Anolis sagrei: one gene and its partners. The protein of the gene in region 1 purifies or fractionates together with the protein of each later gene. This does not show direct contact. Links are inferred from orthologs where the notes say so. Each region holds a gene or a part of one and is shown in the gene's direction. Other genes may lie near its edges. The genes, in order: UBR5, DYRK2, CEP78 and ATMIN.

Evidence for each region.
Region 2: the proteins of UBR5 (region 1) and DYRK2 purify together in Homo sapiens (affinity purification with western blotting; 3 studies listed by BioGRID and IntAct, with this or other methods). This does not show direct contact. The link is inferred for Anolis sagrei from reciprocal best matches to the Homo sapiens genes UBR5 and DYRK2.
Region 3: the proteins of UBR5 (region 1) and CEP78 purify together in Homo sapiens (affinity purification with western blotting; 3 studies listed by BioGRID, with this or other methods). This does not show direct contact. The link is inferred for Anolis sagrei from reciprocal best matches to the Homo sapiens genes UBR5 and CEP78.
Region 4: the proteins of UBR5 (region 1) and ATMIN purify together in Homo sapiens (affinity purification with western blotting; 3 studies listed by BioGRID). This does not show direct contact. The link is inferred for Anolis sagrei from reciprocal best matches to the Homo sapiens genes UBR5 and ATMIN.

Annotation. Positions count from the first base shown.
Region 1 is NC_090024.1:30,050,998-30,058,696, forward strand, and holds the start of UBR5 (E3 ubiquitin-protein ligase UBR5), read left to right. Parts: upstream 1-4,461; 5' UTR 4,462-4,739; coding exon 4,740-4,801; intron 4,802-7,699. UniProt on the Homo sapiens protein: E3 ubiquitin-protein ligase involved in different protein quality control pathways in the cytoplasm and nucleus. Mainly acts as a ubiquitin chain elongator that extends pre-ubiquitinated substrates.
Region 2 is NC_090025.1:142,756,576-142,764,605, forward strand, and holds the start of DYRK2 (dual specificity tyrosine-phosphorylation-regulated kinase 2), read left to right. Parts: upstream 1-4,776; 5' UTR 4,777-4,895; coding exon 4,896-4,947; intron 4,948-6,025; coding exon 6,026-6,192; intron 6,193-6,573; exon of another isoform or gene 6,574-6,652; coding exon of another isoform or gene 6,653-6,697; intron 6,698-8,030. UniProt on the Homo sapiens protein: Serine/threonine-protein kinase involved in the regulation of the mitotic cell cycle, cell proliferation, apoptosis, organization of the cytoskeleton and neurite outgrowth. Functions in part via its role in ubiquitin-dependent proteasomal protein degradation.
Region 3 is NC_090025.1:190,094,596-190,102,050, reverse strand, and holds the start of CEP78 (centrosomal protein of 78 kDa), read left to right. Parts: upstream 1-4,349; 5' UTR 4,350-4,473; intron 4,474-5,529; 5' UTR 5,530-5,545; coding exon 5,546-5,798; intron 5,799-7,455. UniProt on the Homo sapiens protein: Centriole wall protein that localizes to mature centrioles and regulates centriole and cilia biogenesis. Involved in centrosome duplication: required for efficient PLK4 centrosomal localization and PLK4-induced overduplication of centrioles.
Region 4 is NC_090028.1:11,180,398-11,188,587, reverse strand, and holds the start of ATMIN (ATM interactor), read left to right. Parts: upstream 1-5,105; 5' UTR 5,106-5,118; coding exon 5,119-5,382; intron 5,383-8,190. UniProt on the Homo sapiens protein: Transcription factor. Plays a crucial role in cell survival and RAD51 foci formation in response to methylating DNA damage. Involved in regulating the activity of ATM in the absence of DNA damage. May play a role in stabilizing ATM.

The DNA of each region.
Region 1 (7,699 bases):
GGAATAATTTGTCTGGGCAGACGAAATCAGGAAAATGCTTCTAATGTCGATTAAGATGTAAATAGTTGCTCTCCTCCACTTTCTACCATTTCATGTAATCCCATACAGAACTGGCAAGAAATTCCATATATTCTCGGGCTGAAAAAGCCCCCCCCCCCCAGTTTATACTGAAGTCAAAGTTATTTATTATTTTGATGGGTTATTATAACTATTTTATTACATTTATTATTTTACTCTATTTATTAATACATTTACATTACTTTATTATTACATTTATTATTACATTTATTATTTTACTCCAATTATTATTATGTTTACATTGTTTTACTCTAATATTATATTTATTATTTTACTTCATTATTGTTATTACATTTATTATTTTACTCTATTAGTTATTACACTGGTTCTCAACCTATGGGTCCCCAGATGTTTTGGACTTCCAACTCCCAGAAATCCTAATGGCTGGGATTTCAGGGAGTTGTAGACCAAAACACCAGGGGATCTACAGATTGAGAACCACTGAGTTATTATTACATTTATTGTTTTATTCTATTATTACTGTTATTATTACATTTCCATTATTTTACTCTATTTTTATTTTATTACATTTATTATTTTACTTTCTTTATGAATACTGGAAGATTGGTTTTCCCCTGACATTAAGTCCAGTCGTGTCCGACTCTGGGAGCTGGTGCTCATCTCCATTTCTAACCCGAAGTGCTGGCGTTGTCTAAGGTCATGTGGCCAGCATGACTGCATGGAACACCATTACCTTCCTGCTGGAGCAGTACCTATTGATATACTAACATTTGCATGTTTTCAAACTGCAAGGCTGGCAGAAGTGAGGGCTAACAGTGGTAGCTCACCCTGTTCCCCAGATTTGAACCACCAACCTTTCAGTCAGCAAGTTCAGCAGCTCAGCGGTTTAACCCACTGTGCCACCAAGGGGCCCATATAAGGACACATATGTTACTTATTTCGTTCTTATGCATAATGCCTCTTTATGCAAGAATGTTGATTAGATGTCAAATGAACCTCAAAATTAACATTACAAATTAAAAGGACTTTGTTATATTTAGAGTTGAATCTCTTGGGATTATCTGTATTTATTTAGCATGTATTTATAGATGCAACACTTCACTTACAGTCGTATCAAATACACAGCGAGCATCAGAAATAGCATGTTTGTACACTTGAGGTTCCTTGCAAGCGTTTGAAACATTAAATCTAAAAAAAGAGAAAAGAGACAAATTTAAATTATTACCAAGATCATCATTCTAGTTTATTAAGAAATTTGGAGGCAATTCCAAGACACTTTGTAAAAATATACAAGGCATGACATACTGTATCACTGCTAGGTTGGCAGAAGTTGGGATACATAAGCATACTTACATTGAAGATTAGAATAATGGATTAATCAAGAGTTGGACGGTTTTATCAGAGTATGATGCTGGGGAAAATGGAAGGAAAAAGGAAGAGGGGCCAACCAAGGGCAAGATGGATGGATGGTATCCTTGAACTGACTGGATTGACCTTGAAGAAGCTGGGGGTGCTGACGACCAACAGGGAGCTCTGGCGTGGACTGGTCCATGAAGTCACGAAGTCGGAAACGACTGAATGAATGAACAACCAACATCTTTGTTTTATGCAGATATTCAAAAATATTTAACCTACTGATGCCTCAATTAATGTAATTTTATTGGTATCGATTATTATTTTGAAATTTACCAGTAGTTGCTGCATTTCCCACCCTCGTGTTATGCTCGAGTCAAGATGTCTTCCCAGTTTTTTGCAGCAAAATTACATGCCCCAGCTTATATTCAGGCTGGCTTATACTTGAGTATATACGGTTAAGAGAAAAATGGTTTTTGGGACACCTAAAAGACAAGAGTTAAGTTTAGTAATCATGAGTCAAGAATGCAGGACATCCCTCCCCCAGCACCAACTGCTGCTCTGGGTCGGATTGAAGAGAGGGGAGACCAGGGGACAGCACCAGGGCCGTAGCCAGAAAGAAAATTCGGGAGGGGTCGAAATTTTCGGGGGGCGGGTTGAAACCTGCCTCCTAGCTCACACTGAACCAAAGAGCACAGCAGGGGGCAGAGCAGCCTGCAGCTCCACCCCTGTCAACCACCTCCACCAAATCTGGCCTCCTTAATGAGAGCATTCAACACGCCCTCCCCCCCCCCCCCCCAACTTGGTTGCTTCGCTACATCGGCTATTCCTGCAAGTAATGACAGTGTGAATAAATTGTCAATATTTGCTTGAGATAGTGCTTGAAGTTCTGGAGGGACTCTTAATCTTTTGTATCTCATAGACTTAGCATGGGGATTTGGTTAACCAGTTAAAATTCATGAGTAAACCAGTTTTTTTTAAAAAATCTGAAACATTTTGGGGGGGGGGAGAACCCCTAACCCACCCACCCCCCTCGCTACAGGCCTGGACAGCACCATCGTCTCCCGCATATGCCATCAGCTGGAGACCCCTCCCCCCAGCACCAACTGCCACTCTGGCCCGGATTGAAGGGGGGGGGGGCAAGGGACAGTTCCACCTTGTCCCCTGTGCTATTCTAATAATATATATTGTATATACATATAATATTTATAATATTATAATGTAATGCAATATAATACTACTAATAATATATTATAATTATTTATTAGATGCACTTATTGACCGCCATTCTCAGCCCATTACTAATAATATGGTATAATTGATATACTACAATATAACAATATTTAAAACTGATACTGTACTATGCTAATAATATATGGTATGTATATATGCCTTGTAAGCCGCTCCGAGTCCCCTTTGGGATGCGAGGGGCTGCATATAAATGTCGTAAATAAATAAATATCTGTATAGACCAGGAATGGGCAAAGTTGGACCCTCCAGGTGCTTTGGACTTCAACTCCCACAATTCCTAACAGCCTCAGGCCTCTTCCTGAAGAAGAGGGAGTTGAAGTACAAAACATCTGGTGGCCCAACTTTGCCCATGCCTAATATAGATGTACAATATCGTCCTTTGTATTTGTATATCAGGCAATAAGGCAGTGGTTCTCAACCTTCCTAATGCCGTGACCCCTTGATACAGTTCCTCATATTGTGGTGACCCCCAACCATAATATTATTTTCATTGTTACTTCATAAATGTAATTTTGCTAGTTATGAATTGTAATGTAAATATCTGATATGCAGGATGTATTTTCGTTCACTGGACCAAATTTGGCACAAATACCCAATATGCCCAAATTTGAATACTAGTGGGGTTGGGGGGAGGGACTGGTTTTATCATTTGAGAGTTGTACTTGCTGGGATTTATAGTTCACCTACAATGAAAGAGCATTCTGATCTCCACCAATGATGGAACTGAACCAATCTTGGCACACAGGACTCCCATGAGCAACATAAAACACTAGCAGGGTTTGGTGGGCATGGATCTTGAGTTTGGGAGTCGTAGTTTATCTACATCTGTGGACTCAAACAATGATGATCAGGATCAAATTTGGCACAAATACTCAACATGTCCAAGTGTGAACACTAGTGGAGTTTGGGGGAAATAGACCTTGGCATTTGGGAGTTGTAGTTGCTAGGATTTATAGTTCACCTACAATCAAAGAGCATTCTGAACCCCACCAACAATAGAATTAGACCTAACTTTCCACACGTAATCCAGATGACCAAGAAAAAATACTGTGTTTTCTGATGGTCTTCAGCGACCCCTTGGACACCCTCTCGCAGCCCCCCCAGGGGTCTCGACCCCCAGGTTGCAAAACACTGCATTAAGGCTTTAGGCCCACAAAGCAGGGGTGATGGCAACACACTCACACACAGACCCGTTTTCTATGACAGACCAAATATACAATTAAAGTAAATATATAATCCAGAGAATCCAATGATAGATTCTTGAATGAATAGTACTAGTTTTGGAAATAAATACAAATAGAAAGTGGAAAAGTAAAAAATAATAATAATCCAATATTCAGGAAAAATAGGACATCAAAGGCCTCACAGAAGGCCTGAAAAACGTTGGAAAATGGCGTCCTTCACTTTCCTCAGGCTCTTAATTCTTATTTTTTGCTTTCTATTTCCCAAAGTGTTTCTTTTCGTCCTAGCAACGCAGAGGGCGAAGGCAGAAAAGTGAAGCGCCTCCTCAGAAGGGGCGGCGCCTCAAACAAACGGAGAGAAAAGGAAGGAAGGAAGGAAAGAAAGAGGGAAAGAAAGAAGGAAGGAAGGAGGGACATCCTCCCTCCGTCGCCTCCGCGCCCTACACTCTGAGGCGGCGCGCGCACCTCAGCCGAAAGAGGAAAAAAAAGTCTCCCTCCCCCTCCCTTTTCCGGATGACGCCATCGCGTCGAGCCCGAACCAATCCGGATTGGGTTCACATCGCCGTTGCCGCCTTTCCAGTGAGAAGCCAGAACGCCATTGGCTGCGGGGCGCGCGGAGGGCGAGGGAGACGTAACCCCGCCCATTCCTCTCTCTCTCTCCCCGGCGCAAGGAGGGAAGTTAAGATGGCGGATCTTGTGAGAGTCGGGTGCTGAGCTGCGGGCCCGTTCCCCGCCGCGCTCTCCGTTTCTCTCTCTCGTGTGTTTTTCTCCCCCGTCACGAGGCCCTGAGGGAGGCCCTGAAGGAGCCTTTTCTCTCGCCCAGTTGTCTCTCTCACCCCCCGCCAACCCCATTTCCTCCTCCTTGTGCGCCCGGCCCGCCTTCCCTCGAGTGAAGGAGGAGGGAGAGAGGGGAACATGACCTCGATCCACTTCGTGGTGCACCCGCTCCCGGGCACCGAGGACCAGCTCAATGACCGGTGAGGAAACATGGAGACGAGGGAGGAGGCCTGGTCGCCCTCCCCCCCCCTTTATCACCTCGGGAAAGAAAGGGGGGGGAGAGGAAGGGGAGGGGCTTCGCCGTGTGCTTGGGAGGAGGGAGGGGGCCGCCTGGGAAGGAAACCATCTCTCTATATGTATATGGGATGATAGATACTAGATCTGGTATGGGCAAACTTTGGCCCTCCAGGTGTTTTGGAAATTCCTATGGGCAAACCATCTCTCTCTGTATATGTGTATATGGAGATAGGTGGATACTAGATCTGCTATGGGCAACTTCGGCCCTCCAGGTGTTTGGGAAATTCCTATGGGCAAACTATATCTCTCTGTATACATGTATATGGAAATAGATGCACATAACTATAATAGAGACACATATCTCTCTGTATATGTGTCTGGGGATAGATACTAGATCAGGTATGGGCTAACTTCGGCCCTCCAGGTGTTTAGAAATTTCCTATGGGCAAAACCATATCTTTAAGTATATGTGTAAGAGGATAGATACTTGATCTGGTATGGGCAAACTTCGGCCCTCCAAGTGTTTTGGAAATTCCTATGGGCAAACTATATCTCTCTGTATATATGTATATGGAAATAGATACACATATCTATAATAGAGACATATATCTCTGTATATGTGTATGGGGATAGATACTAGATCAGGTATGGGCCAACTTCGGCCCTCCAAGTGTTTTGGAAATTCCTAGGGCAAGCCATATCTCTCTGTATATATATGTATATGGAAATAGATACACATATCTATAATAGAGACACATATCTCTCTGTATATGTGTATGGGGATAGATACTAGATCAGGTATGGGCCAACTTCGGCCCTCTAGGTGTTTGGGAAATTCCTATGGGCAAACTATATCTATCTGTTTATATGTATATGGAAATAGAGACACATATCTATAATAGAGACACATATCTCTCTGTATATGTGTATGGGGATAGATACTATATCTGCTATGGGCCAACTTCGGCCTTCCAGGTGTTTGGGAAATTCCTATGGGCAAACTATATCTCTCTGTATATATGTATATGGAAATAGATGCACATAACTATAATAGAGACACATATCTCTCTGTATATGTGTATGGTGATAGATACTAGATCAGATATGGGCCAACTGCAGCCTTCCAGGTGTTGGGAAATTCCTATGGGCAAACCATATCTCTCTGTATATGTGTATGGGAATAGATACTAAATCAGGTATGGGCAAACTTCGGCCCTCCAGGTGTTTTGGACATGGGCAAACCATATATTTCTGTACATGTGTCGGGATAGATACTAGATCAGGTATGGGTTAACTTCAGCCCTTCAGGTGTTTTGGAAATTCCTATGAGCAAACTATATCTCTCTGTATATATGTATGGCGATAGATACTAGATCAGGTATGGGCCAACTTCGGCCCTCCAGATGTTTGGGAAATTCCTATGGGTAAACCATATCTCTCTGTATATGTGTATGGCGATAGATACTAGATCAGGTATGGGCAAACTTCGGTCCTCCAGGTGTTTTGGAAATTGCTATGGGCAAACTATATTTCTCTGTATATTTGTAAATGAAAATAAATAGGTGGATATTAGATGTGCTATGGGCAAACTTCGGCCTTCCAGGTGCTTTGGAAATTTCTATGGGCAACCCATCTGTCTTTGTATATGTGTATAGAGATAGATACTAGATCAGATATGGGCCAACTTCAGCCTTCCAGGTGTTTGGGAAATTCCTATGGGCAAACCATATCTCTCTGTATATGTATAGGGATAGATACTACATCAGGAATGGGCCAACTTCAGCCTTCCAGGTGTTTTGGAAATTTCTATGGGCAAACTATATCTCTCTGAATATGTGTATGGAGATAAGTACCAGATCGGGTATGGGCCAACTTCGGCCCTCCAGGTGTTTAGGAATTTCCTATGGGCAAACCATATCTTTCTTTATATATGTTTGGGGAGAGATACTAGATCAGGTATGGGCCAACTTTGGTCCTCCAGGTGTTTTGGAAATTCTTATGGGGAAACCGTATCTCTCTGTATATGTGTATGGCGATATATACTAGATCAGGTATTGGCAAACTTCGGCCCTCCAGGTGCCATGGGAAATCCCTATGGGCAAACCATATTTTTCTGTATATGTATATGGAGATAGATACTAGATCAGGTATGGGCAAGCTTCAGCCTTCCAGGTGTTTTGGACATTCCTATCGGCAAATCATATCTCTCTGTATATATGCGTATGGAGATAGATACTAGATCAGGTATGGGCCAACTTCAGCCCTCCAGGTGTTTTGGAAATTCCTAAGGGCAAACTTTGGTTCTCCAGGTGTTTTGGAAATTCCTATGGGCAAACCATATCTCTCTGTATATGTATATGGGGATAGATACTAGATCAGGTATGGGCAAACTTCGGCCCTCCAGGTGTTTGGGAAATTCCTATGGACAAACCATATCTCTCTGTATATGTGTATGGCGAATATACTAGATCAGGTATGGGCAAACTTCAGCCCTCCAGGTGTTTTGGAAATTCCTATGGGCAAACCATATCTTTCTGTATATGTATATGGGAATAGATACTAGATCAGGTATGGGCAAACTTCGGCCCTCCAGGTGTTTGGGAAATTCCTATGGACAAACCATACTTCTCTGTATATGTGTATGGAGATAGATAGGTGGATACTAGATCTGGCATGGGCAAACTTTGGCCCTCCAGGTGTTTTGGAAATTCTTATGGGCAAACCATCTCTCTCTGTATATGTGTGTGGACATAGATAGGTAGATCAGGTATAGGCAAACTTCGGCCATCCAGGTGTTTTGGAAATTCCTAAGGTGAAACAGGGAAGGCTTAGCCCTGCTCCCTCCTGATGGGGATTTCCAT
Region 2 (8,030 bases), on another chromosome or scaffold:
CACCCCTCAACCTCTGAGGATGCCTGCCATAGATGTGGGTGAAATGTCAGGAGAGAATGCTTCTGAAACATGGCCATACAGCCTGGAAAACTCACAGCAACCCAATGCTTGAAACATACATTGACTTATTCTCTCACATTATTCTGACTACACTCTGAGCTTTTGTTATGGTGAAGAATAAAGTTAGAACTCTTGACTATTTCTTTAGGGGTTCCTTATTCTGCATAGTTACCAGTCTTGCCTCTTACTTATCTAGACTGAGACAGCTGCTTTTTCCTTCTTTCTTCACCAGCACATCCTTATCTCCCTCTCCCTTCAGCAATCCTATAAATGGACCACTCCTATCTGCCACATATACAGTAAGTTTAAAAGAAACATGCTCACTCAATAGTTAGCATTTGGCAAATTGCTGGAGTAAGTGTTGTACTGCTTACACTTTTATTCATTTCCACAATGGGAATATTTGTGTTTTATTAAGAGTATGTTTTGTTAAAGGAACAAGATCTCCCTCTTTACATTTCTTTTGCTGTTGCCATGTGCCTTCAAGTCATGTCTGACCTAGGGCTACCCTAAGGCAAAACTATCACAGGGCTTTCTTGACACAATTTGTCCAGAAGAGCTTTGCCATTGTTTTCCTCCGAGGCCAAGAGTGTGTGACATACCTAATGTGGGTTTTTGTGGTTTATAGGAGATTCACGTCTTGCTCTCCAGAGTCATAAGGTGCATCTACAGCAGGAATGGGCAAACTTTAGCCCTCCAGGTGTTTTGGGATTCAACTCCCACAATTCCTGAGGGCCGAAATTTGCACCTACCTGATCTACAGTGTAGAATGAATGCAATTTCATGTGGTGGCACAATGATCAGGACTGCTAACGGAAAGGTTGGTGGTTTGAATCCAGGGAGCAGGGTGAGCTCCTGACTGTCAGCTCCAGCTCCTCATGCCGGGACATGAGAGAAACTTCCCACAGGATGGTAAAACATCCTGACGTCCCCTGGGCAACATACTTGCAGACAGCAAATTCTCTCACACCAGAAGTGATTTGCAGTTTCTCAAAAATGAAAAAAAAACCTTTAACTGCCGTGGCTCAATGCTATGGATTCACAGAAGATGGCAGTTTTCAAGGGCTTTAGACATCTCTTCCAAAGAGCACTTGATGGGAGAGATCAAACTGCATCAAACTGTAATCCGCAGCATTCCATAGCATTACCTCCAGGAAGTTAAAGTGGTGTCAAACTGTCTTCATATTACAGTTTAGAGAGATATACCTTATGACTCTGGAGAACAGGGCTCCAGTCTCAAATCATATTGGAAACCCACCTGGAGACATTGGGCAAGCCACACTCTTGACTTCTGAGGAGGGTCGCAAGAAACCCCTTCTGGACAACTCTTGCCAAGAAGACATTGGGCATGTGGATGTCCCACACCCCAACATTCAAACCACTACACTATGCTGCCTCCAAAGCTTTCCTTTGCCCTCTTTCGAAAGGGAAAGCACAAACCCAAAGAAGGACAAGAGATAACTTATCATCCTCCCTGTTCCCTGCTTATCTCACACTAAAGTTTTTTTTCTCTTTCTCTCTAGAGTTTCAGAAGGAAGTTCTTCCTTCTGCCTTTCCAGTGCATTGTTTATAAACAACTCTCCGCCCACGAAGAGAGGGAGGGATTCCTTCAAGTAGCAGGCAAAGAAGGGGGGTGAGAGGTTTTCTCCTTTGGGCTCTGGAGAAGGAACACAGAGCAAGATTTCCCCATAGAGAAAGACACTTCTACAGCCTTAGAAGAGGTCACTTAGGTTGGGCAATGGGCATCCTCTCAGTGTGGCTTCAAAAATAACCTGCTAAGAGTCCACCTTGCATCTCAGTTACAAGATTATGATAGAATAATAATGATAGAATGAAGCTTCCCTTGATTTTTCCAGGGTCTATCCTAGGCATGGGCAAACTTAGGCCCTCTGGGTGTTTTGGACTTAAGCGGCTGAGGGGGAAAAGAAAGGGGCCTGAGGCTGTTAGGAATGGTGGGAGTTGAAGTCCAAAACACCCAGAGGGCCCAAGTTGGCCCATGCCTGGTCTAGCCTTTTTTCTCCAGAGGAAAATCCAGTCCATCTTTCCCCACTCTGTCCTAGACCTGACCTTCATCAGAGATGTTTCATCTTTAGAGATGTGCTCACCAAGGCTTCCTCACCAGATGTTCACCAATGCTTCCTCTTCATCCTGGAAAGAAGTGATGGGTGGAGTGCCACAGGGTTCCCTCCTGGGCCCGGTCCTGTTCAACATCTTTATTAATGACTTGGATTTTTTTTTTGTCGTGTCAGGAGCGACTTGAGAAACTGCAAGTTGCTTCTGGTGTGAGAGAATAGACCATCTGCAAGGACGTTGCCCAGGGGACGCCCAGATGTTTTTGATGTTTTATCATCCTTGTAGGAGGCTTCTCTCATGTCCCCGCATGAGGAGCTGGAGCTGATAGAGGGAGCTCCTCTGCGCTTTCCCCTGATTCGAACATGCGACCTGTTGGTCTTCAGTCCTGTCGGCACAGGGGTTTAACCCACTGCGCCACTGGGGGCTCCTAATGACTTAGATGAAGGGTTGGAAGTCATGATCATCAAGTTTGCAGACGACACCAAATTGGGAGAGAGAGCCAATACTCCAGAAGACAGGAGCGGAATTCACAAGGATCTTAATAGATTAGAGAGATGGGCCAAAACTAACAAAATGAAGTTCAACAGTGACAAATGCAAAATACTCCACTTAGACAGAAAAAAATGAAATGCAAAGAATGGAGGATGTGTGACTCGATAGCAGTATGTGTGAAAAAGATATTGGAGTCCTCATGGGCAACAAGTTAAACATGAGCCAACAATGTCATGTGGTGGCAAAAAAAAAAAAAAGGCCAATGAGATTTTGGCCTGTATAAATAGGAATCTAGTGTCTGTATCCAAGGAAGTAATGCTACCCCTCTATTCTGCCTTGGCTAGATCACACCTGGAATACTGTGTCCAATTCTGGGCACTGCAATAGAAGGGAGATGTTGACAATCTGGAATGTGTCCAGAGGAGGGTGACTAAAATGATCATGAGTCTGGAGAACAAACCCTATGAGGAGCGGCTTAAAGAGTTGGGCATGTTTAGCCTGCAGAAGATAAGGCTGAGAGGAGACATGATAGCCATGTATAAATATGTGAGGGGAAGTCATAGGGAGGAGGGAGCAAGCTTGTTTTCAGCTGCCCTGGAGACTAGGATGCAGAAACATGGCTTCAAACTACAGAAAAGAACATTCCACTGAACATTAGGGAGAACTGTGAGAGCTGTCGAAGGCTTTCATGGCTGGAATCACTAGGTTCTTGTGGGTTTTTTCGGGCTATATGGCCATGTTCTAGAGGCATTTCTCCTGACGTTTCGCCTGCATCTATAGCAAGCATCCTCTGAGGATGCTTGCCATAGATGCAGGCGAAACGTCAGGAGAAATGCCTCTAGAACATGGCCATATAGCCCGAAAAAACCCACAAGAACCAACTGTGAGAGCTGTTCAGCAGTGGAACTCTCTGCCTTGGAGTGTGGTGGAGGCTCCTTCTTTGGAGGCTTTTAAGCAGAGACTGGATGGCCATCTGTCGGGGGTGCTTTGAATGCGATTTTCCTGCTTCTAGGCAAGGGGTTGGACTGGATGGCCCATGAGGTCTCTCCCAACTCTATGATTCTATGATGTGGTAACCCGCCTCGAGCCACGAGGAGATTTGGGCAGGAAATACTACTATTGTTAGGATGCTGATTGCGTCTCCTCGCCCCCTCCTTCTATGGCCTCGCGCCCCATTTGGAAGAGCGGCTCCTTTTCTCTTTCAGGACGTGCCCCACGTTATTTGGCCTCCCTACAATCTGAAATCTTTTGTTTCTCGTCGACGGCCGCTCTCTCTTCTCACAAAGTGAAGGCGCCGCGGGGGGGAAAGGAGAAAGGGCCTGAGGCGAGCACCCTCTTCCCCCTCTTTTGCGTGGCCCGGGGCGAGCAGTAGCCACTGCCTACGTGTGTGGAGGAGGAGGAGAAGGAGGAGGAGGAAGGGAAGAGGGAGGGGCTGCACATCGCCGCCTCCCTCGCCTTTCAATTCAATCCAGGGCCGGGGAGGGGCTGCCACTCTGTCAGATCCAAGCCAGTGAGTGAGGAGAGAGTTCGGGGAAAGTGTGAGGGGCGGGGCCAAGGGCGAGGGGCGGGGCTTGGCTTGCTAGCCCCTCTCCTTGGGCTCGAGGCGGTCGCTCCGCCTGTGTTTGCCTCTTTGAAGGGGAGAGTGTGTCGCGCCGGGGAGGGGCTGCCATTCTGTCAGATCCGAGCCAGGGAGTGAGAGGAGAGGGTTCGGGGAAAGTGTGAGGGGCGGGGCTAAGGGCGAGGGGGCGGGGCTTAACTTGGCTGCCCCCCTCCCTCCTTGGGCTCGAGGCGGTCGCTCCGCCTGTGTTTGTCTCTCTGAAGGGGAGGAGAACGAGAAGGAAGGCAAGAGGGAGGGAGGGAGGTGGAAGAAGGGAGCCCCTCATGCTGCCGCCCCCCTCCCCTTCCTCCCGCGAAGGCACCGGGGGACCCTGGACGCTGCCCGGGTGATGCCTTTGGTGCCTCCGGAGCAAGGAGGAGAGGAGGAGGAGGAGGAGGAGGAGGAGAAGGGGAAGGAGGAGAGAGCGGAGGCCGAGGCCGGGCGGGGCGCGCGGGGCTGCTTCTGCCCGGCGGCGGGCCCGGGCTCTTGGGGGACGGATGCCGCGGAGGGGCCGGGGCCTGGGGGCTCGCGAGGCAACGCCGGCGCCCAGCGCGGAGGAGAGGAGCGCCAGGAGGAAGAGAAGGAGGCGGAGGAGGAGGAGGCGCAGGCGGAGCAGCAGCAGCAGCAGCAGCAGCCCTGAGATGCGCTCCCCAGTCCTTCCCCACCAGCGGCCATGTTAACCACCAGGAAACCTGCTGCCGGGGCTGGAGGAGCCGCTGCTGCTGGTGAGATTGAGCGAGGGGTTGGACAGGGCAGCGGGGCCCAGCCCCCAGTGGGAAAGGCCCTTGGAGGAAGGCCCGGCGCCGCAGGTCCAAGGGCAACCCTACAGCCCAGAAGATCCAGGCAGAAAATCCCACAATATCTGAGCGTGGGCTTAGGGCCCTTCCACGCAGCCCTATATCCCAGAAGATCAAGGCGGAAGATCTGAATGTGGACTTAGGGCCCTTCCACACAGCCCCAGAAGATCAAGGCAGAAAATGCCACAATATCTGAGTGCGGACTCAGGGCCCTTCCACACAGCCCTATATCCCAGAAGATCAAGGCAGAAGATCTGAATGTGGACTTAGGGCCCTTCCACACAGCCCCAGAATATCAAGGCAGAACATCCCACAATATCTGCTTTGAACTGAGTCCACATTCAGATAATATGGGATTTATGCCTTGATCTTCTGGGAGATAGGGCTGTGTGGAAGGGCCCTCAGATAACCCAGTTCAAAGCAGATATTGTGGCATTTTCTGCCTTGTTCTTCTGGGCTATAGGGCTGTGTGGAAGGGCCCTAAGTCCACACTCCGATATTGTGGCATTTTCTGCCTTGATCTTCTGGGCTATAGGGCTGTGTGGAAGGGCTCCTAGAGGACAGCGACGCTTCTATAGTCGGCGTTGCAGGGTCATCTCTTCCCCCCTTGAGGGAAACGGGGACAGGCAAAAACCCACTTGGAGTGGGGTTCCTGGGCTGGCCTTGGATCGGGCTCTGCGTGAAGACCCTTCCCTGCCATCGAGGCCCCAGACCAAGCGGAGAAAGGAGGGGGGAGGGAGGAGGGGACTGCACGCCACTCAAATCCCCCCTGGCTTCTCCCTTCTGCCTCTGCGGCGTGTGGGTTGACCGTGGATGAAGGAAGGTTGACCCGAGGGGAAGGGATCGCCCCTCCCTCCCCTCGCGAGCACCCCATCCCCCACCCCTCCGCAATAGAGGAGGGGGCGGGGGGGCTCCCTCTGTTGTGTTTCCCCCCCACTTCCTCTTCCTGGACCCTCTCAGGCTCTCCTCTTTAGCCTCTCTCTTCTGGCTTCTTCTCCCTCCTCAGGCAGCAGGGCAGTAGCAGGAGGAGGAGGAGGAGGGGAGGGCGCCCTCCAGTGCCAGCCTTCGCCAGGCCTCGGCGCCGGAGGGGCCTCCCGGGCCGGACCGGGCACCGCTGGACCGCCTTCGCCCATCGCTTTGCCGCCGCTCAAGCCCAGCAGCGCTGCCCACACGGTGAGGAAGAGCGAGGCCGGGATTTAAGGGTGGGGGCTTTGGAGGGATGGGTATATATATATGATCTGCTCAGTGTCAACCTTGGACTCTCCCTCGCTCTATCTCTCTCTCCCTCCCCTCCATCCCCATCCCCAGAAGATTTGAATGCCAGCTTCTCATAAGCCCCCCCCAACTGCCTCCCCCAATTGCTTCTGCTCTCCCCCCCCCCGTGCCAACCTTGGACCCTCCTCCCTCCCATCCATCCCCAGAAGACTTGAATGCCAGCCACTCATAAGCCCCCCCCCCTCCACTGCCTCCCCCAATTGCTTCTGCTCCTCCTTCTCCTCCTTTCCTGGGTATTAATAGCAAGCAATCTGCAAGGTACAGTCAGGCTGCCAGCCAGCCTGTCTGAGTGGGAGGTGGGCATGAGCTTGCTTTCCAGGGCATGGAGGAGCCCCATTAATTCCCCGCCACCGCCGGCATGTCTCAACACGTCCTAGTCCTCTTCCCTGTCTGGTTTCAACAGGTACTTGTGATTTCGTTGTAGAGGGGCAGAAGGGTAAGAGGGGAGAAGCAAGGTCTGGAGGCGCTCTGGAGACTGATGAACGCTCTGGGCCACTTTGGCAAGGAGAGATGGAGCCCTCCAGTCAGGTCACCTGTGTGAGCCATGCAAGGGTGTTGCATCGCTCACATCACAACTGGAGGAGGCTTTTGCATCTTTCTCTCTGAGGCTCATTCAAGATTTCAGTGCTGGGTGATGGATTTGAAACAAAGGAAAATAAAAAGGGGCCTGCTCAGGAGGTTGACGAGGTGAGAAAGAACGGTCCTTGTGGCTGGACTGAAAAGCCACTGCTGGTTTGGTCATCTTTCTGGTGGCTGTCATTTTCTCAACAAGTTTTTGGTACAGTCTAGTCAATGCAGTGTGGTTATAAGAGTGTTTCTGGAAGATGTAGTTAGTCGTTTTATGACAAAGGATTCACCTCTCAGAACTAAAAGAAAAGTTCTTATTTTGGGTTGCTGTGAATTTTACGGGATGTATGGCCATGTTCCAGAAGCATTCTCTCCTGATGTTTCACCCACATTGATGGCAGGCATCCTCAGAGGTTGAGGGATCTGTTGGAAACAAGGCAACTGGGGTTTATATATCTGTTGAATGTCCAGGGTGGGAGAAAGAACTCTTGTCTGCTTGAGGCAAGTGTGAATGTTGGAATTGGCCACCTTGATTAGCTTTGAATGGCCTTGCAGCTTCAAAGTCTGGCAAGTTGCTGTCGGGGGGGGGGGATTCTTTGTTGGGAGACGTTAGCTGGCCTTGATTGATTCTTGTCTGGATTTCCCTGCTTTTTGGGTGTTGCTCTTTCTTTACTGTCCTGATTTTAGACTAGTTGTTAGACCACCCCAGACCTGATGATCCATTTCCAGTGGAACAGCCAGAGACAGTAAAGTAGGCTGGAGTGTGACACTGCCCTTGTAAACACCATTCACTAGGGAAACAGGTGTTGGCATTATTTGCAAGGCTGTGGTTTCTCACATAATCTTCAAGTTGCAGCTAATCTGCTACAAGGGAGGGAACTTCTCAAGCATGATGATCTATTTATGGAAGGTGGAGAAGGGCAGAATATATTTCTAGGTGGGTAGAAATAAGGTCTGTTGAGGTTTTATGCATTGATTCTAGCTGTTGCATCAAACCTGAAAAATATGTTGGACTGTAAAAGAGATTTTAGAATCTAAATTATGATGCCTTCTGATGCAAAGACAGCTCCTCGGTCTAGAATCTCCCTTCTCTGATGGATTTGTTGCTGGCAGTGTGGCACTCTGTATATATTTAGGGGCATTCAACTTTCTAGCTTACATGTTTTGAA
Region 3 (7,455 bases), on another chromosome or scaffold:
TTTACAAAACTGCTATGAGACGTTCTTGCTCAGTGGCCAGAAAATGAGGAAAGGTTACTGAGCGTAGCTTGCTGACTATTATAGAGTAAGAATAGTCCCCAGAAAATTCAAGAAATAACATAGTAAAATACAAAACATGTAAAAGACACAGTGGAGCCAAAAAAGCCCCAGAAGAATTAAAATAACAATAATATTATCGTCCTTGTGAAGCCAAGTCTGTGGAAGCAACTGAAATCCACTCTTACCTACTTTAGTCCTTGGCTTTGCTATGCCAGGTGTAATTAATCCGGCATGCTAGTTGTGCGTCGTGGTATTTAACAACATATCCATTCAAGTATGCATGATAATGCCTTTTTCCCCTAAATGGATTAAGAATATATTCCATCCAGTGGTCAGCATAATAAAGACTCCAGAATCATAGTAAAGTAAGTGAAGTCGTCTCAATGTGGCTGGAATCCTTTGGGTTAATTTCTCCTGAAGTTGACCCATTGAGGAAAACTAGTCCGGACTAAGAAAATGATTTAGTTTTGTCCCTAAATGTTATATCTGTTGCTTATGCTATAACCACTCATTTGTTATAGTGAAAGACTATAGAACAGGCATGGGCCAACTTGGGCCCTCCAGGTGTTTTGGACTACAACTCCCACAATTCCTAACAGCCTACCAGCTGTTAGGAATTGTGGGAGTTGTAGTCCAAAACACCTGGAAGGCCCAAGTTGGCCCATGCCTGTTGTATAGTGTGGTGCCAAGTGATATTTCAAAGATACTTCTTTTTATATATATATAAAAAATAATGTATACATCCATGTTGTAAATGTGTGTTGTAAATATTGTGTATTTGTACAGAAAAGACTCAATATGTTTACTTGACATTCTCCCCCCCCCCTTTCATGTAAAAGCACAGTGGAGAGATGTCCGCCTCGTAATAATACATTTTATCCCAATAATCATGAGTAAAACCCAAAAAACTATGGAAAAAAATTATTCTCGCAGCCATATTTCAATAAACCGTGGAAGTGTTTCAACTGTTATGTTCCCTTTGTTTCAAATGGGTATTTTTGGATAATCAGAAAAAGAGATTTTACATGAAATTAGTATAGATTTCTTCTGTTTTTATGTTTGAAATTTGTGGCCTGCTTTTGAAGACATTGAGTGTTTCTACGCTATAGAATTAATGCAGTTTTGACACCACTTCAGCAAAATCACAAATGGGTCTCGATTTATCTGCAAAGAACAAGTTTTTCAGTGCTTCCAGTCATTTTAATTGTATGTTTTAATTCTATTTAAATATCTGTATATTTAAATATCTGTATAACTGATTTTTTTAAAAAAAATACTGTGGGTCTTTGTGGGATATAAATATTCCTAATAATAATAATAATAATAACTCCATGAAAGGAAAGGAAAAGAGAAGGGAGGGAAGAAAACAAAACTCCATGGACAGTTTCTGGCAAAAATTGAGAGCCAAATTGACAAAGAAAAAACATGGCTGTGGCTCACAAATGGAACTTTGAAAAAGGAGACAAAGAAGGGCCTGATTCTGGAAGCCCAAGAACAAGCCATTCGAACCAATGCCATCAAAGCCAGAATTGAAGTCGACAACAGATCCCAAATGTAGACTCTGCAAGGAAGCAGATGAAACAATAGATCACATTCTCAGCTGCTGCAAGAAGATTGCGCAGACAGACTACAAGCAGAGGCATAACACGGTTGCTCAGATGATTCATTGGAACTTGTGCCACAAATACCATCTGCCAGATTACAGGTTCGAATCCAGAGAGAGCATGGATGAGCTCCCTCTGTCAGCTCCAGCTCTCTATGTGGGGACATGAGAGGAGCCTCTCACAAGGATCGTAAAAATCCGGGTGTCCCCCTAGGCAAAGTCCTTGCAGATGGCCAATTTTCTTACACCAGAAGCGACTTGCAGTTTCTCAAGTTGCTCCTGACATGAAAAAAAACTTGCCCTGATTGATTCTTTTCTAGAATTCCCCTGCTTTTTGAGTGTTGTGCTTTATTTACTGTCCTAATTCTAGAGGATTTTTTAAATAGTGCTAGCCAGATTTTTTTTCATTTTCATGGTTTCCTCCTTTCTGTTGAAATTGTCCACATGCTTGTGGATTTCAATGGCTTCTCTGTGACATGGTGGTGTGAGAGTGGTCCAGCATTTCTGAGTTCTCAAATAAGATGCTGTGTCCAGGTTGGTTCATCAGGCGCTCTGCTGTGGTTGACTCCTCTATTTGAATCAGTCTGCAGTGTCTTTCATGTTCCTTGATTCGTGTTTGGGCAATGATGCGTTTGGTGGCGCAATGGATTAAACCCTTGTGCTGGCAGGACTGAAGACTGACAGATCAGAGGTCGAATATAGGAAGAGCTTGAGTGAGCTCACTTTGTCAGTTCCAGCTCCTCATGCAGAGACATGAGAGAAGCTCCCCTCTGTCAGCACTAGCTTCCCTACCAACCTAGCAGGAATTGTGGGAGTTGAAGTCCAAAACACCTGGAGGGCTCAAGTTCGCCCATGCCTGAGTTAACCTATTGCGGCGCCGCAAATAAATATAGCTTATTAATTATAGTAAATATTAAATAATATGCTATAAATAAAATAAATAAGAATTTTTCCTGTCTCTGTGAAAAGTCCTCAGCCCATAATATAGAATGTTTGGGTTGTTGTAGGTTTTCCAGGCTATATGGCCATGTTCTAGAGGCATTTTCTCCTGACGTTTCGCCTGCATCTCTGGCAAGCATCCTCAGAGGTAGTGAGGTCTGTTGGAAGTAGGAAAATGGGATTATATATCTGTGGAATGACCAGGGTGGGACAAAGGACTTTTGTCTGCTGGAGCTAGGTGTGAATGTTTCAATTGACCACCTTCATTAGCATTTAATGTCTTGGAAGTGCCTGGGGGAATCTTTCTTTGAGAGGTGATTTGATGTGTTAAATAATATGTTATAAATAAAATAAATAAGAATTATTCCTGTTTCTGAAAAGTCATCAGCCCAAAATATAGAATTTTTGGCTTTCCTACTTTTTCTCTCTCTCTCTCTATAATTATAACTATAAATAAAATAAATAAGAATTTTTCCTGTCTCTGTGACAAGTCCTCAGCCCAAAATATAGAATATTTGACATCCCTACTTTAATACACACACACAAATATATATAGTAGGAAAGTCAAAATATTATAAATAATATTATAAATAAAATAAATAAGAATGGTTCTTGTCTCTGTGAAAAGTCCCCATATATATATATATATATATATATATATATATATACACACACACACACACACACACATACATATACATACATACACACACACAATATTATAAATAATATTATAAAAATATTATAATCTCAGATTAGGAATTCCCCATCCCAAGTCCTAGAAGCACTTTAGTACAATTAATATTGCTGCACACCAGACTATTTTAACCCTACGTGCCTCCTGCCATTTCAGCACTTTTAACCCTGTACCCCATTGCTCTGGCCGGCCCAGTTTTAAAGTATCCTGATGTATTGTCACTGTTGTTATTCTGCTTAACTATTTTGATTTGCTTTGTTTATTGTTGTGTTATGTTTTTACTGTATTGTGTTCTGAGGCTTCGGCCTGTGTAAGCCGCATCGAGTCCCTCGGGAGATGCTAGCGGGGTACAAATAAAGTTAATAATAATAATAATAATAATAATAATAGATAAAATAAATAAGATTTTTTCCTGTTTCTATGAAAAGTCCTCAGCCCAAAACATAGCATATTTGGAATCCCTACTTTAATATATACACACACACGCATATATATAGTAGGAAAGCCAAAATATTATGAATATTATAAATAAAATAAATAAGAATGGTTCTTGTCTCTGTGAAAAGTCCTCAGCCCCAAATATAGAATGTTTGGCTTCCCTACTTTCTTATATATTATATATTCTTATATATTATATATTCAAATATATATCCCTTTATAATAAGGAATTTGTGAAATGCAAGCTTTCCCGCCATCTATTTAAATTAACTAAGAATGGCAAAATAAGGGGAGGAGCGTTAGATTCAAAGGGGGCGTGGTTTTACGGGATGGCCAATCATGTGGCACCTTTCAACGCATCACGTGACGACGGTAGCGGCAAGGGGGTGGAGTTATGTCTGAGGAAACAAGGGAATGGGAGGGGGAAGAAAAGGGCCGCGTTTGTACGGACCGACCAATCAGAAGCTTCGCTTATGAATCACGTGGGAGGACTACAAAAAGGGGCGGGGTTATGTGTGAGGAAAAGAGCAAGAATGAAAGTGTCTGTAGAGAGGAAAGGGGCGTGTTTTGGTGGTCCCGCCCCCTTCCTCTCCCTCTCTTCCAATCAGAGCCTCTTCTCCGCGTCACGTGGGAGGGTGGGAGTAGGAAAAGGGCAGTTGGGGAACCAAGGCAACGGTTACCACACGCGCGAGGGGGAGGAGCCTAAGCCAGCCTTGGATGTTTTGGCCTCCTGCTTGTAAGTAACCAAATAGGAGTAGCATTGTATTGGCTTTGAATGGCTTCAGCGTGGTTTAAATGCCTATCTCTTTGGAATGTGTCCAGAGGAGAGTGACTAAAATGATAAAAGGTCTGGAGAACAAGCCCTATGAGGAGCGGCTAAAGGAGCTGGGCATGTTTAGCCTGAAGAAGAGAAGGCTGAGAGGGGATATGATAGCCATGTATAAATATGTGAGAGGAAGCCACAGGGAGGAGGGAGCAAGCTTGTTTACTGCTTCCCTGGAGACTAGGACAAGGAACAATGGCTTCAAACTACAAGAAAGGAGATTCCATCTGAACATGAGGAAGAACTTCCTGACTGTGAGAGCCGTTCAGCAGTGGAACTCTCTGCCCCGGAGTGTGGTGGAGGCTCCTTCTTTGGAAGCTTTTAAGCAGAGGCTGGATGGCCATCTGTCAGGGGTGATTTGAATGCAATGTTCTTGCTTCTTGGCAGGGGGTTGGACTGGATGGCCCATGAGGTCTCTTCCAACTCTTTGATTCTATGATTCTTTTAATATATATGTTTGCAATGGTTTTATGTTATTACTCTATGCATTTAAAGGCTTTATCTATTCATTTTAATTAATTTAATTTAATTTAAAGCTTTGAGGAGAGAGGATAAGAATTCAACCTTATTGTATTGTCTAAGGATGTCATGCCTGGAATCACTGGGTTGCTGTGAGTTTTCTGGGCTGTTTGGCCATGTTCCAGCAGCATTCTCTCCTGACATTTCGCCCACATCCATCGCAGGCATCTTCAGAGGTTGTGAGGTTTGTTGGGAAACTAGGAAAATTGGGTTTATATATCTGTGGAATAATGTCCAGGGTGGGAGAAAGAACCTTTGTCTGTTTGAGGCAAGTGTGAATGTTGCCTCAAACATAGATTCAGGCAAAATGTTAGGAGAGAATGCTTCTGGAACATGGTCATAACATCCCGAAAAACGTACAGCAACCTATTCAAACTTATTATATGTGTGTAGTAGTAGTAGTTAAAATGACATTAATGATATATTTGTGTTTGTTTTCCTCCTTTTTAGTGTTGACTCTCCAGAAATGATCGAATCAGTCCAAATAAGGAGGCAGTGCAGCCTGGACTTTTACTCCCATTATGAGCACCTGTGTGCAGTTCAAGGCTGCGCTCCCCTCGTGTCCGTGCAGGCCAAAAAGCCTGAAGGCGTGATTGATATAAACGCAGACCGTATCAAAGGTGCAGACTGGTTGCCTCTCCTGGCTGCGCTCAGGCACAACAAGACCTTGACTTCGATCGCCATCAAGAGCTTGCACCATCAGGGACATGCAGACCCAGGTAGGGACTCTTTCAATGGCAAAGCATCATGCTATCTTTGTTGTCGAAGGCTTTCATGGCCAAATCACTGGGTTACTGTGAGTTTTCCAGGCTGTAGGGCCACGTTTCAGTAGCATTCTCTCCTTATGTTTGGCCTGCATTTGTTGTTGGCATCTTCAGAAGTATGAACCCCTGGTGTTGCAGTGGGTTAAACCCTTGTGCCGGCAGCAGGGAAGACGGACAGGTTGGAGGTTTAAATCAGGGAAGAGTAGGAATGAACTCCCTCTGTCAGCTCCAGCTCCCCATGCGGGGACATGAGAGAAGCGTCCCTCAAAGATGGTAAAACATCAAAACATCCAGGCATCCTCTGGACAACGTCCTTGCAGACAGCCAATTCTCTCACACCAGAAGTGACTTGCAGTTTCTCAAGTCACTTCTGACATGAAAAAAAATCTTCAGAGGTCTGTTGGAAATGAGGCAAGTGGGGTATATGTCTGTGGAATGTCCTAGATGAGAGATAGAATCCTTGTCTGTTTGAAGCAACAACGACCAGGCTTTGCAACTGCAAGGCTACTCAATGCTCATCAAGCTGGTTAATTGCATCATCCAAACTTGCTTCAAACAGCCAATCGATCCAGCTGAAAATGAATCTGATTGCAAAGATGAAATGGCATGATGGGTTGCCACGGTAAAAATTTTATTTTATTTTATTTATTTGCAACATTTATATGCCACCCTTCTCACCCCGAAGGGGACTTAGAGCAGCTTACAAGATATATATATATACATACAATATAGTATATTATTAGCATGGTACAATATCAGTATTAAATATTACTATATTGTACTATACCATTATATTGTAATACTAGGCATCCCCTGCCACGCATTGCTGTGGCCCAGTCTGTGTATATGTATTGTGCATGTGTATATATGTGTGTGTGTATATGTATATATGTGTTTTTGTGCATGCGTTGTAATGTGTTTTTTTTTTAAAAATTGACTTCTTACGGGCTTTGATTATGTTTTCTTGCCCAGGTGAAGGGAGTTGGACTGGATGACTTTAAGTATTTTCTGTTGATCATGGAGGTTCTGTGTGGGAAGTTTGCCCAAATTCTGTCATTTGTGGGGTTCAGAATGCTCATTGATTGTAGGTGAACTATAACTCCCAGTAACTACAACTCCCAAATGTCAAGGTCTATTTCCCCAAAGCCCATCTGTGTTCATATTTGTGCATATTGAGTATTCATGCCAAGTTTGGCCCAGATCCATCATTGTTTGAGTCCATAGTGCTCTCTGGATGTAGGTGAACTACAACTCCCAAACTCAAGGTCAATGCCCACCAAACCCTTCTAGTGTTTTATGTTGGTCATGGGAGTCCTATGTGCCACGTTGGGTTCAGTTTCATCATTGGTAGAGTTTAGAATGCTCTTTGATTGTAGGTTGATTATAAATCCCAGCAACTACAACTCCCAAATGACAAAACCATTTTTTGAGTGATGGTCACTCCTTGGGTTAGTAGGTGTATTGGGTCCAAATTTGGCGGCAATTCATCCAGTGGTTTTTGAGTTATGTTAATCCCACAAATAAACATTACATTTTTATTTATATAGATTATTAGTAATATTGCATATAATATAAATATATAATTGTAATATATTATTATATTGCATTACAT
Region 4 (8,190 bases), on another chromosome or scaffold:
GACAGTGGATTTATAAAAAAGCACCTTGGTCTCCCTACGGATGTCCCGGTACTCAAACCTTCTCTGCTTCATTTGGAAAAATGTTGCACTTGCAGAGCTCAGGCAGTGTTGCATTTAGGTGTCAATGTTGACTTTTGTGGGGAGTTGGCTGCCAAGGTAGCCTTGGCATTTGACACAAATAATCTAATATAGTGTATAATCAGAAAATATTCATTCAAAAATAATGAAATGAGTTTAGATCTATATTTAAATGGCAACTTGTGCAAAATAAGTATACCAAACTTTACCATTCACTAGAATGCAAGACATTTTATTTATTATTATTATTTACAGTATTTGTATACCGCTTTTCTCACTCAGAGGGGGACTCTAAGTGGTTTACACATAAGTAATGGCAAAATTCAATGCCAGTACAAACAATTACAATTATACACTACAATTAGACATAAATCAAGTTAAAAACAGTACATCCACAAGCAATAAAACAATCATTAAAACAATAAAACAGTCTCGTTAAGGCAAAATCCATGCAAACTATTCTTACTTAGAATTATTGGTTACTATGTTTTAGGGAAAACTGTTTCAATCTAGATAATAGTAGTAGTGTCCCCAGTTGCTTCCCCCTCCTCCATATCATATGCAAAAATCCTAATTTAATTTTTTTTCAAGAACCTCTTTGCAAGGCAGGGAATAGATCTTCACACTCAGGAGAATTTCAAAATTTGTCTACACATATCATTTATTTTTCCGTGTCAGGAGTGACTTGAGAAACTGCAAGTGGCTTCTGGTGTGAGAGAATTGACTATCTGCAAGGACATTGCCCAGAGGAGGCCAGGGTGTTTTTATGTTTTACCATCCTTGTGAGAGGCTTCTCTCAGGTCCCCACATGGGAGCTGGAGCTGGCAGAGGGAGCTCATCCGCACTGTGCCCAGTTTCGAACCTCCAACCTGTCGGACTTCCGTCCTGCCAACTCAAGGGTTTAACCCATTGTGCCACCGGGAACATCATGATTTTACAATAATAAAGAATAACCCCATAAGAATGGGAAGAGGCCTTAAAGCATTTCTTGCGATTTGAGCTTTCTGATTGTTTTATGTTTTTTAAAAAACCCAATTTGCATATACCAAAAGATGTTTGAAGTCACAATAAAATGTTTCATTAACATTATTCCATTATATTTAACCTTTTCAGGAATCACTTATTTCTAATTTTGCAACATTCCAGCTTGTCCAAATAGCATTACGTATTTCTTTTTCTTCAAATTGTTGTTTTCCTTTCCCTCTTCTTTTTTTTATGGGCATTCTTGACTATCTCTAACCATTATAAATCTTTTTTTCCCACAGTTAAGTCTGCAGTTTTGCATCAAATTAAATAAATATGACATGCAGAATTCAGAGTGTGGGTTATATAATTGTGCTGAATCTGGGATAATATTTTTACCGCTGAGATGTTATCGGCGTCTGAAAAAGCGACTATTTTTGGACAAAAATACGTACCCATATTCAGCACACAGTGCAAAGAATGAATATGTTGGCATCGCTGTAGTGTCCCGTGCACTTTGAAGAGATGCATGCCTTTAATTAATACAAATTTGATACCTAAAGGTTGGAAAGGTTATATATTTTGGAGAGTAAAATATTAAAACGTTTTAACTGTGGGATATGTTTTTACTGTTGGTTTTTACTGGCTTTGAATTCTTGCCGGAGCTGTATGCTGCCTTGAGTCCCCTCGGTTGAGAAAGATGGGCTAAACATGACATAAATAAATGACATAGATGTGGGTGAAACATCAGGAGAGAATGCTACTGGAATATGACCAGACAGCCTGGAAAACTCACAGCAACCTATAATTGTGTTGTCGAAGGCTTTCAAGGCTGGAATCACTGGGTTGCTGTGAGTTTTCTGGGCTTTGTGGCCATGTCACAGTAGAGTAATGCTACTGGAATATGGCCAGACAGCCTGGAAAACTCACAGCAACCTATAATTGTGTTGTCGGAGGCTTTCATGGCTCGAATCACTAGGTTGCTGTGAGTTTTCCGGGCTAATGGCCATGTTCAGAAGCATTCTCTCCTGACATTTCATCCACATCCTTAGCAGGCATCCTCAGAGGTTGTCTAATCTGTTAGAAACTATGCAAATGGAATGCCCAGTGTGGGAGAAAGAACTCTTGCAATGTTCATACTTGCCTTCAACAGACAAGAATTCTTTCTACCAGATTCCACAGATATATAAACCTCCCTTGCCTAGTTTCCAACAGGCCTCACAACCTCTGAGGATGCTTACCATAGATGTGGGCGAAACACCAGGAGAGAATGCTTCTGGAACATGGCCATACAGTCCAGAAAACTCATAGCAACCCAATAAATAAATAAATTTCCCTGGTGTTATATTTAACCATACAAAAATAATGGACAAAAGGGGATTTTATTCAGCCACGTAAATAGACTTGGATTTTAGTGAAAGGTGTTCATTTTATCTATTTATTACATTATATGTACTTTAAAATTATAACAGCAAGACATTGCAATGTGACTGCCTATTTTTCATTACTGCATTGCGGTTTTTAGTCATGTATACATTTGACTTTTCAGAAAATTGATCAACTTGTATATATCTTCTCATCTGTAAATATAAATAATTTTTTTGTTTGTAAAGTTTATTCTGCGTCATCATTATTTCATGTTGATATTCTTCCAAAGAATGCATGGAAAATAAGATGTCCTTGAACAGGTATGCAAGTGTCATTGAACCCAGCGTTTGTCTCATGATTGGAATTTAGTAACAACAAAAAATCGGCTCCTCTCCCAGAGAGGAGAGATTTGGTATGCCCATCCCACCAAGAACTTGCCACAATTTATTATGATCCACACAGTCAAAGGCTTTAGATTTGTCAATAGAACAGAAATAGATTTTTCTGAAAGTCCCTGCCTTTCTCCATTATCCAGCGGATATTGGCAATCTGGTTTCTTGTTCCTCTTCTCTTTTCTAAACCCAGCTTGTCCATCTGGCAACTCTCTCTCCATGTCTTGCTGGAGTCTTCCTTGCAGGATCTTGAGCATTCCTTTACTGGCATGAGAAATAAGGGCCACTGTATGGAAGTTTGAGCAGTCTTTAGCATTCCCCTTTTTGGTATGAGGATATAAGTTGATTTTTTCCAGTCTGATGGCCTTTCTTGTGTTTTCCATATTTGCTGGCATATGGCATGCATCACTTTGACAGCATCTTCTTCCAAGATTGTAAACAGTTCAGCTGGGATCCCGTCATCTCCTGCTGCCTTGTTGTTAGCAATGCTTCTTAAGGCCCATTCAACCTCACTCCTCAGGATGTCTGGTTCTAATTCACTCACCACACCGTCAGAACTATCCTCGATATTATTATCCTTCCTATACAGACCTTCTGTATAGTCTCGCCACCTTCTTTTGATCATTTCAGCTTCTGTTAGGTCCCTGCCATTATTTTACTCTATTATTATTATTATTACATTTATTTTTTTTACTCCCTTTATTACTTTACTTTTATCATTATTGGTATTATATTGCATTACATTACATTATCAATATTATATGTGTATACAATATATATTATTGTTGTTCATTCGTTCATTTGTCTCCAACTCTTCGTGACCTCATGGACCAGCCCACGCCAGAGCTCCCTGTCGGCCGTCACCACCCCCAGGTCAGTCCACTCACTTCAAGGATGGCATCCATCCATCTTGCCCTTGGTCGGCCCCTTTTCCTTTTACCTTCCACTTTCCCCAGCATAATTGTCTTCTCTAGGCTTTGCTGTCTCCTCATGATGTGGCCAAAGTACTTCAACTTTGTCTCTAGTATCCTTCCCTCCAGTGAGCAGTCGGGCTTTATTTCCTGGAGGATGGAGTGGTTGGATCTTCTCACAGTCCAAGGCACTCTCAGAACTTTCCTCCAGCACCACAGCTCAAAAGCATCTCTCTTCCTTCGCTCAGCCTTCCCTAAGGTCCAGCTCTCACATCCGTAGGTTACTACAGGGAATACCATTGCTTTGACTTTGCGGATCTTTATTGCCAGTGTGATGTCTCTGCTCTTTACTATTTTATCGAGATTGGACATTGCTCTCCTTCCAAGAAGGAAGCATCTTCTGATTTCCTGGCCACAGTCTGCATCTGCAGTCATCTTTGCGCCTAGAAATACAAAGTCTGTCACGGCCTCCACGTTTTCTCCCTCTATTTTCCAGTTGTCAATCATTCTTGTTGCCATAATCTTGGGTTTTTTTTATGTTTAGCTGCAACCCAGCTTTTGCGCTTTCTTCTTTCACCTTGATTAGAAGGCTCCTCAGCTCCTCCTCGCTTTCGGCCATCAGAGTGGTGTCATCTGCATATGAGGTTGTTGATGTTTCTTCCAGCAATTTTTACCCCAGCTTTGCATTCATCAAGCCCCGCACATCGCATGATGTGTTCTGCATACAAGTTGAATAGGTCAGGGGAGAGTATACAACCCTGCCGTACGCCTTTCCCAATCTTGAACCAGTCTGTTCCGTAGTCAGTTCTGACTGTTGTTACTTGGTCCTTGTACAGATTCCTCAGGAGAGACAAGGTGGCTTGGTATGCCCATCCCACCAAGAACTTGCCACAGTTTATTATGATCCACACAGTCAAAGGCTTTAGTCAATGAAGCAGAAATAGATGTTTTTCTGAAACTCCCTGCCTTTCTCCATTATCCAGCATCGGGATATTGGCAATCTGGTCTCTCGTTCCTCTGCCTTTTCTAAACCCAGCTTGTACACCTGGCAACTCTCGCTCCATGTCTTGCTGGAGTCTTCCTTGCCGGAATTATTGGTATTATATTGCATTACATTACATTATCAATATTATATGTGTATACAATATATATTATTAGCACAGCACAATATCAGAATATCAGTATTTTTGATGTGCTTATATTGATACTTTAGGAATGTTATTCCAACACATCTGGGCGTGGCTTTGTCCTGGGCAAAAGAGGAAGCTAGTCTTGCTAGTGGAGACCGCCAGGGGGCGTGCCCTAAGGAAGGCGCCGGCTCATGAATATGCATGATGGGTTGTCCCTGCCGCCGGCTCGCACCGGAAGCGCTGCGACGCTTGGTTCCGGGCACTTCCGGGCGCAAGATGGCGGCGGCGCGGTGCCTGTCGCGGAGGGGCGTGGGGCTCGGGCGGCCTCCTCGCCGCGGAGGGCTTCTTTCCTCGCCATCATCCCCCTCGCCTGCCTCCACCTCGCCGTGGGAGCTGGTGAGGCCCTCGGTGGCGGAGCTCTCCCGGGCGGTGCGGAGCCACATCCCCTGCTCGGTGCCCGGCTGCGGGAAGGTGCTGCCCAACCCGCCGGCGCTGAGCATGCACCTCAGCAAGGCCCACCGCCTGGTGCCTCCTCCTCAGGTGAGCCCGGCCTGCGGGCCTTCTCCTCAGCACTCCCCGCCAGGCCTCCCCTCAGGACCTGCCTGCCTGCCTGCCGGTGGTTCTCCTCCTCCTGCCCTCGAGTTTTCACCCTCTCGTAAGGTAAAGGTAAAGGTAGTCCCCTGACATTAAGTCCAGTCATGTCTGACTCTGCGGTGTGGTGCTCATCTCCATTTCTAAGCCGAAGAGCCAGCGTTGTCCGTAGACACCTCCAAGGTCATGTGGCCGGCATGACTGCATGGAGCGCTGTTACCTTCCCGCCAGAGCGGTACCTATTGATCTACTCACATTTGCATGTTTTCGAACTCCTAGGTTGGCAGAAGCTAGGGCTGACAGCAGAAGCTCACACCGCTCCCTGGAATCGAACCTGCGACCTTTCGATCAATAAGCTCAGCAGCTCAGTGCTTTAACCCATTGCGCCACCGGGGACTCCACACTCTCTCATAGAATCATAGAAATGGGCCATCCAATCCAACCCCATTCCGCCAAGAAGCAGGAAAATCCCACTCCGACAGATAGCCATCCAGCCTCTGTTTAAAGCCTCCAAAAGAGGAGCCTCCACCACATTCCAAGACAGAGAGTTCCACAGCTGATCGGCTCTCACAATCAGGAAGTTCTTCCTCCTGTTCAGATGGAATCTCCTCGCTTGTAGTTTGAAGCCATAGTTCCATTTATTTATTTATTATTCGGACTTCTATGCCCCCACTCCCCTGGGGTTCAGAGCGGCTTACAAGAATGGCTAAAATCTAACAAAAGTTAAAAGCAATTTAAAACAATTTAAAAACAGCAGTATCAAACATTAAAAGCCTGTCGAAACAGGTATGTCTTACATGCCCTGCGGAAAGCTGGTAAGTCCCGCAAGGCACGGACTTCAGGTGGCAGAGTATTCCAGAGTGATGGTGCCACTGCTGTGAAGGCTCTGCGTCTGGTTGCCATTAGACGCAAGGTCTTGACACTGGGAATTTCCAACAAATCTTGGTCCTCAGAACGGAGGGATCTCTGGGGTTGGTAGGGGGTGAGGCGGTCCATCAGGTACATCGGCCTCAGACCATGCAAGGCCTTAAAGGTGAGTACCATCACTTTGAAAGTGATCCGGTGCTCAATTGGTAACCAATGCAGCTGCAGTAAGATTGTGGTTATGTGGCATCTCATTGGAATTCCCGCAAGAAGCCGAGCAGCTGCATTTTGTACCAACTTGAGCTTCCGGATCACCGACAGAGAAAGGCCAATGTAGAGGGCGTTACAGTAGTCCAGTCTTGAGATAACCGTGGCCTGGATCACCATAGCTAGGTCGTCCCTGGACAGGTAAAGAGCCAGCCGTCTAGCCTGCCGCAGATGAGAAAAGGCGGTTCTGCTAACGGCGGAGACCTGGGCCTCCATCGTCAGCAGAGGGTCCAAAAGGACTCCCAGACTCTTTACCAATGATAACGGGCGTAGCGCCTCACCACCCAGGGTAGGCAGTTGGATGTCCCCACTGCCCGGTCGACCCAGCCATAGGATCTCCGTCTTTGCTGGATTCACCCTCAACCTGCTGGCACACAGCCATCCAGTAACAGCCTCGAGGCACTGATGGAAACAATCGGGTACAGAGTCCGGTCGGCCTTCCATCTTCAGCACCAGTTGAGTGTCATTGCATCCTAGTCTCCAGAGCAGCAGAAAACAAGCTTCCTCCCTCCTCCCTATGACTTCCCCTCACATATTTATCCATGGCCCTCATCATGTCTCCTCTCAGCCTTCTCTTCTTTAGGCTAAACATGCCCAGCTCTTTAAGCCGCTCCTCATAGGGCTTGTTCTCCAGACCCTTGATCACTTTAAAGGCAGTTATGTTCACCAGACCCACACAAGTCATTTAAATGTTATAAGAAAATACTTTTTTCCTGTTAAGGTTCACATTATGTTGGCAAAAACTTATTGGATCCCATATTCTAGTAGTGCCATAATCCAAATCAAAACTCCGGATGATCTCACCCAGCGGCTTCATAGAATCATAGAATCACAGAGTTGGAAGAGACCTCATGGGCCATCCAGTCCACCCCATTCTGCCAAGAAGCAGGAATATTGGATTCAAATCACCCCTGACAGATGACCATCCAGCCTGTTTAAAAGCTTCCAAAGAAGGAACCCCCACCACACTCTGGGACAGAGAGTTCCACTGCTGAACGGCTCTCACAGTCAGGAAGTTCTTCCTCATGTTCAGATGGAATCTCCTTTCTTGTAGTTTGAAGCCATTGTTCCATTGTGTCCTAGTCTCCAGGGAAGCAGAAAAAAAGCTTGCTCCCTCCTCCCTGTGGCTTCCTCTCACATATTTATATATGGCTATCATATCTCCTCTCAGCCTTCTCTTCTTCAGGCTAAACATGCCCAGCACCTTAAGCCGCTCCTCATAGGGGTTGTTCTCCAGACCCTTGATCATTTTAGTCACTCTCCTCTGGACACATTCCTGCTTGTCAATATCTCTCTTCAATTGTGGTGCCCAGAATTTGACACAATATTCCAGGTGTGGTCTAACCAAGGCAGAATAGAGCTTGAGGAGCATGACTTCCCTAGATCTAGACACTATGCTCCTATTGATGCAGGCCAAACTCCCATTGGCTTTTTTTGTCGCCACATAACATTGTTGGCTCATGTTTAACTTGTTGTCCATGAGGACTCCAAGATCTTATTTAACTTCATTTATATCCCGCTCTTCTCTACCCTGAAGGGGACTCATAGCGGCATTACAAATTATTCAGCAATTTGAGGCCAAAACATAAACATACAATACAATTAACATTTTATTAAAACCAAACA